Linked DNA regions of Kluyveromyces lactis. The protein of the gene in region 1 interacts with the protein of each later gene in a pairwise test. Links are inferred from orthologs where the notes say so. Each region holds a gene or a part of one and is shown on either strand. Other genes may lie near its edges.

Region 1 (4,573 bases):
ACTCTCACACGCCTTAAGGTACCAGTGTAAAACTATCACTTTGGTGTTTTGTCAGGGTAAACAAAACAAAACATTCTAATTCAAAAGTATCAGAATCTCTAACTTTTCAAAGCTTCGTTGGGTCAATGTTTTCATGATGTTCATTGGAAAACGTTGACCCTCGTTAGAAATTGCGATCATATTATACGGAAAGCAGGGTAACGATACATACACAGACGCATATAGTGAGTCCACACTATCACGTGATTCATATTGCTAATATATATGCATAAATATTCAGTACAACTGAGATATCACCTATTCTATCATGCGCAGTGAACTGTTTACCCGATGGGTAGTACTTGTCTTAAACAGGAGGCGGGATATTGTTTGTTTGGAACAATTTCTCACTGGACTGTTGTAATTGTTTCCAGATGTTTTCGTACTTATCTGTCTTAGATCCCAGCGTACGTTGGAAATACCCTTGTAGTAGTAGCGTTATTTCCGCTAGACAATCAAGTGATTCGGCCATGATATTCAAGTTTTTATCTGTCTTTGTAGATAGTCTGTCTGTCAGTGATGATGATATAGATTCTATTGCCTTTGTATTGAAGAATTTCAAGACATCGGACAATTGACGTTCGCAATGTCTTGCATACTGTGATGGGAAGTTTGAGGCGAGTACCAATAAAGTTTTGATCATTTTGATGGCAAGGATTAGAGCCTCGCTTGCCACGAATGTCTTATCACCTAAGACAACGGATTTTTTGTGACCGGTAGAGGATTGCTTCTCATCCTTTGTTTCGTCTAATGGAGAAGGTTTGTTCAACTCGATGAATCGTGTCCAATTTGACGGATCAATGTCAATACACGATACAATATCATTGACATCCTTTTGCAATTCGGGCTCGACGATGAATGGTGTCCATCTCTCTACATCGATCTTTTGTTTCAAAACCCTTATGTTCAAATTTTGTAAAGATTTCAAATATGTATCGATTTGGAGGTTCAATACGTCAGAAAGATACTTCGTTAGAAATTCACCGCTTATAGATTCACACTCTCTCATGAAAAGCATGCATATCTCGTAGAACTGAAGGAAATGATCGAAACGTAATGTACATGTGATATCCCGTCTCACTGAGATTATTTTCCCCATTCGAAGCTGTACTATCCTTATACCCTCGTTAACGCTTTTCCGAATATCAAGATCAATAATCATCTTATCAGATTGCTCTGCCGTTGTCGGTAATTCACTTAGCGAAATGTCTAATAGCATTTTCTGATGCCGCGTTAACCTCTTCAATAGTTCGATTTCAGAAGTGAATATATTTACAAGCATTGATTGGAACTCTTGAGATGATTGTTCTTGAATCAACTTTGATAGCCTTGACCCATTGGCGGCAGTTGGTTTAGAGCCATCTTTCGACTCTTCAGGTGTTTGTCTCTCATGCGGTAGATTAACCTTAATAACAGATTTCAACTCTGCTATAAATTTATCCTCGTATAGCTTCACTGCCGGAACCAACTGATCACAATCGATTAATTGTATTAGATTTTCTTTGATTTGCTTTCGGAAGGTCTCATCGATCTTTAAATGAGGTTTGTTCTTATCCTTCCTAGATTGCAATTTGATGATCGTGTCATTTTTCGATTGAGACTTCGAATACGTCCTCAAATCTTCCAATAGTACGGTAACCAGACTCAATGAGTAAGATCCCCCGATGTCAACCTTCAGATTATTTAGCATGTCTATTATGCCCTGTAAACTAGAAAAACTTGAGATGTTTGTGAGTTTGTACGGCCACTGAGAGGTCCAATCATTGACAGTGGGATCATCATTGTCACCATTTATTAAGTTCTCAACTGCTTTAACCAATTTCAAACACTCTTGTAGTTTTTCTTCTTGATATATTTCTTTACATTCTTCACATTTTTCTTTCGCTAGTTTTACTTGTAGGATCCCCTGTTGTAACTTTTCCACATTTTTCCTTCTTATGAGATCTTTAATCATCTCAATTCTTTTTGAGATTTTATCCCCATTTATCCTCTCAAGGGCCTCAGCAGCAGAATCCAACTCGTTGATTGTCTCTGTCGCATTTTCTCTAATCTTATCGACGTCTTCCAAAGCGTCAAAAAAGCTTTGTATAGACTTGGAGATTTCAGAAACAAGGAGTCCCTCAACAGTATCTAAGTAGAATGCCAATCTTCCTTGAAGCTCTTCATAGCTGTCATTTCTAACTTTATCATCATCATTTAGTAGTTGATTGGCATCAAACTCAAAATCTCGTAGAAGCATTCGAAAGAAATTGGGGTGATCTAATTTGAACTCCTTATCAAAATAGAATTCAGGTATTTCTTCAAATGCCTTGGCTTTCGTATTTTGCAATCCAAGGGCAGTTTTATCATGATCAATAGATCTCATTTGCTCCATTCGGTTCAACTTTGATATATTATTTGTCGATTGATACACCCTATATTCGTCTTTAATGTCATCTCTGTATTGATTAATATCCTTGTCCCATTTATCCTTAATATCGTTCTTGCTTAGAACTACAGGGGGAATATCCTCGGTGGTTGGGTGCCGCAACCATCTTTTAAATCTGGTGTTCATCACAATTTCATATATTGAATTATCAACCAACGGTGAATAATCAAGACCGTGTTTTTGGGTATGCATCGTTGTAGAAAAAGAATTGAATGTGGAATCAAAACTACTACGCCTCATAGACATACTGTCCCTTATTTGATCCCTGTTTCTAGATAATACAGATAGATCATCGTTCAACGAGCTAGCATCATCTGAGGCATGACTGGGCACCAATAGTGGAGATCGACTTAATTGCGTCCTACTATCAGGAGTTAGAGATAGAGCTGGTGTCTCACTTCCCAGTAACCTATCCGGCATAGTTAACTCGCTGGTTTATAGTCTGTTGGAACAGCTTTTTCTTTGCTATGCATCTTAAAGGTGTATGTATCTGTTTACAATATGAACTTTAATCGATTTTCAGTTTTTACATATTCAATGATACTTCTAAAAGAAAGTGAACATGGTAGTTTGAGTATATAATTAAGCGCACTCTCTCAACATAAATAAAACACCGTAGCAAGTTAATCAATAGAAGCATTAAGCGCTGAGCGAGAGATCTACGCAGATGGATAAAACCAAGAAAAATTGTTGTTCTTCTAATTAATACTATTTACGTAGTGAAAAAAAAATATATATGCTGGTAGAGTGGTATTTTTAAGTTTAACCTCAATAAAAAAAATGAACTCCGAATATACCTAAGAGCACTTGAGCGATCACTCAGAATCAGAATCAGATCCAAATAAAAAGCTACCCGATGAAGGAGATTTTAATGGTGGTCTTCTTACCGTCGAATTGTGTTGAGATAAAGGTTCTCCAGTGATGAAGCTATGTGTCTGTTTTAAAACAGGAGATGCAGAATTGGAAGGTGTGATAAAATCATGAATGGAATTTGCTCTAGACTTCCCTATAGATGAGGTTCGCCTTAATGATAGTGGGTCTTTTGCAGTAAGCTCTAGTTCTTCACCGTTATCGTCATGCTCTTCGTCATCATGACTGAAACCAGGTTGGGAAGAATCTGCGATGAATTCGTTGTCCGGATGTTCATCGTTATCATCTTGTACCGGAAGGCTTTGATGGTATGTATATATTTTCCCTCTTGAGTCATCATCCATATATCCGTCATTCGCGTCCTGTATTGGAGTATCTAATCCAATGCCATCCGGTACATCGAGGATATCACACGAATTGTCCACAGTTACAAAGTTGGATGTATCCCCCGTGTAAACGGAATTATAATCATACATGTAGTCAAATCCTCTGCTAGTATTCACATTGTGTGATACTGCGTTACCATAATACCATTCATTTTCGTCTTCATCATAATATTCATCGTCAGATCCGTAGTTTAGAGTAGTGGCTGGAAGTGGTTTAATAGTTGCGTTTGGAAATTTGGATAGTGAGAGTGATCTTAAAGAATTTGCAACATCTGTGCCATCACTAGCCCCCGAATTGGTTCGATTTTTTCTAGTATGTGCACTGATAAATAACCCATCATCTTCGTCATCTTCGTCGTCATCTTCATCATAATCGTAGCTGTCAGCGTCTTCATCATCTTCGTCATCGGCGTAATCTTCGACGCTGTTGGCCCCTGAATTTCTATATCCATCGTCAAAGTCAGAATACTGATGCGAAGATCTGGCACCGTCCGACATATCGTCAGAGTGGTAATCGGTATTTGTCATTGGGACTTCGTCATCATTAGGATTAGCGTCTATGGGGTTATGATTAACCGCAATACATTGTTCGACACGGTCATTGAAATGAATATGTCTTTCCCTTTTTTGCTTTTGCTTCATCGATGATGTAAGAATCGATGATAATATGGGAGGATCAGATCTTGCGGATGGGGTTTCTATCACAGAGCCAGAGATTGGACCTGGAGTGGTATTTACTATCGACGAGTTTGTTTCGGTCACAACGGGCGAAATAGATTCCACCGATTCATCAGGCGGTGTATGGATATTTTTGTAATATTGTGCATTCACCTTCGCGGCAATAGCATCA
Region 2 (2,624 bases), on another chromosome or scaffold:
GGCTTTTACTATGCAATTTCGGGGAGTTTCTTTTTGTATGATTAGGTTGTGACTGAGCCTGCGTTTGCAAATATTCGTTTACCATCTGAACGTCTGTTTGAGTCACCGAGTAAGACTCGAATAGTCGCGGGGAGAAATTCTTGAACTCCTTTACCATAATTCTGTTCCAAGCCATGGCCAATTTTTTATGATAATCGGTGATATTAGTACAGCGACTATAAATTGATGATAACAAATGCTCATAAAAGGAGCACAACCCATAGTTCAGAAGAACAGGAGAGAGATGATTCAAGCAGATAGTCTTATTCACAGGTATGCAGGGATTAGGTGTCAAACAGTTTAATAGTATGATAGGCTCCCATTCGTTCATAGGCTTGTGGCTTATGAAAACAACACAGTAAAGTTCCAAATCTCGGCTTTCGTCATGTAGTACTATATTCCAGAACTGCAAATTTGATTCTTGTGGCTTGATATGGCATGTAGAGTGCTTATAATGGCTCAAACGTTTCCATTCCCTAAGGAGTTTCCTGTACAACGGATGCATCTTATGTGGATGTGGCCTGCTATTTGAAAGAAAAAAAAGTAGTGAAGAATAACAATTATAGGCAATGGAAAAGCCTTTCCAATAATGATATATTACCACACTTAGTTGGCAATATAGTAGTTAAGATATCCAATAATAATCACGTTACCCTTAGCTTTGCATGCAAAGGTATGCAGTCTTACTGTTTTGTATTTTTACAAATCAGATTAATATATTCTATTATTATTTTTCTCTGATTATCATTTTTGATCTACAAATTCTTCATATATTGTAGAATATGTTTATACAGATAGAAGAAGAAAGAAAATTCAGAGCATTAATCAGTACCGGTATGCCTCATGTGAGCTCTCTGCAGTTACAAACTCGCATATATAAAAAATTGAGATTGAACAAAAAAATACAGCGAGGACAATGTGAACGATACAGACTATATACGCAAGTAATTTTTACTATGTCTAATGGGGTCTCTTTGTTTGTTGTTACCCGGCCACTAAAAGGCCAACTACAATTTTAGTGAAAGGAAAATCTCAGGATCGAGTGATTAATAACACACTGCATTGGTTAGGAGTTATGATTTCATTGTATTTAATATTTCACTCATTACAAAGACATTATCTGATCTTATAGTACGAATACAATAAAATTGTTTACACATCAGGAGACAAACTTACCGCTGTCTGGATCGCTGTTTATTCGTTTATTTGTTTCGAATTTTGGCTGTAACTGGTTCTCAAATAAGAAATATTTTGAACAAGTACTTCCTAATTTTACATATCAACTAGTACAAAAGTTTTGGTTTTAAATTATTAATTGACTTATTAATACACCTTTTCTTTAATTACCAACTACCTTTGAATTGACCGCAGTACAGCAATTACTTATAAAATATCACAATGGGTAACTTCTTTAGTTCTATGTTTGATAGACTATTGGGTGCGGAAAAAGAATTACGTATATTGATATTAGGGCTTGATGGTGCTGGTAAGACGACGATATTGTACAGACTACAGATAGGAGAAGTGATAACTACAAAACCTACCATTGGTTTCAATGTAGAGACGTTAAATTATAAAAACTTGAAACTTAACGTGTGGGATCTAGGTGGACAAACTTCGATTAGACCATACTGGCGTTGTTATTACGCAAACACAGCAGCAGTTATCTTCGTTGTTGACTCTACAGATAAGGACCGTATGAATATAGCTTCGAAGGAATTGCACCTCATGTTGCAAGAAGAAGAATTGCAGGACTCCGCTCTGCTCGTATTTGCCAATAAACAAGATCAACCAGGCGCATTAAGTGCGTCAGAAGTATCAAAGGAGTTGAACTTGGCAGAATTGAAGGATAGAAGCTGGAGTATTGTTGCATCCAGTGCCATTAAGGGCGAAGGGATAACTGAAGGTTTGGATTGGTTAATTGACGTGATTAAGGAAGAACAAATGTAATTGTAGAAGGAATTGAAAACTGCATGTTTTTTAGTGCTTCCGGTCCCATTATATTTATCTACAACTGAAATGCTTTTTTAATTTGACATGACCTAAGATAGTAATAAAAATAAATGACAAAGCTAATAACAAAGTTAAAATTCGAATTGTTTACTTCCTGCCGATGCTGGCGTAATGTCCTATTGAATTCCTTTACACGCTTATTTCAATAGACATTCAATTTTCCCATGCATTTTTATTTCATCTCCAAAATCCTCCACTATTTCGTTTACGTTTGCGTATGCGTGATATAATGTTTTCTCCTATTCAAACCATTCCATCGTGCCCTAGTTTCATTATATATATAGCATATTCATAATTCGCATAATTAAGCAGTCATTATACCATGCAACCACGAATCCTTTAAATGGAACATGGTCTTGCCAACTACCACCATATCATTCAGTATATGATGTATTACTTCGCTCAACGTAAAAAGGTAAATCTCTTTGTTATATATTACAGGTGTACATTACCCCCTCGACGAATATCATATACTGGAAACAAATACCAAAAGCGGTACCTCTTTTTGATTATTATTTGCTATAGTAATAACTACAGGCATATAGCAAAAAAAAAAGTAACCGTTATAAAGA

What was found.
Region 2: the proteins of VPS54 (region 1) and ARL1 interact in binary tests that used the Saccharomyces cerevisiae proteins (3 or more experiments, as listed by UniProt). The link is inferred for Kluyveromyces lactis from reciprocal best matches to the Saccharomyces cerevisiae genes VPS54 and ARL1.

The regions. Positions count from the first base shown.
Region 1 is NC_006042.1:414,428-419,000, reverse strand, and holds VPS54 (Vps54p), read right to left. Parts: upstream 2,888-4,573; coding exon 347-2,887; downstream 1-346. Other genes in the region: RPI1 (protein phosphatase regulator REG1), read right to left, coding at 3,283-4,573. UniProt on the Saccharomyces cerevisiae protein: Involved in retrograde transport from early and late endosomes to late Golgi by linking the vesicle through the t-SNARE TGL1 to the Golgi, leading to the membrane fusion between late Golgi and endosomal vesicles.
Region 2 is NC_006041.1:2,193,117-2,195,740, forward strand, and holds ARL1 (Arf family GTPase ARL1), read left to right. Parts: upstream 1-1,437; coding exon 1,438-1,989; downstream 1,990-2,624. Other genes in the region: UBS1 (Ubs1p), read right to left, coding at 1-544. UniProt on the Saccharomyces cerevisiae protein: Recruits golgins such as IMH1 to the Golgi. Can bind and hydrolyze GTP. May be involved in trafficking events within the endosomal system.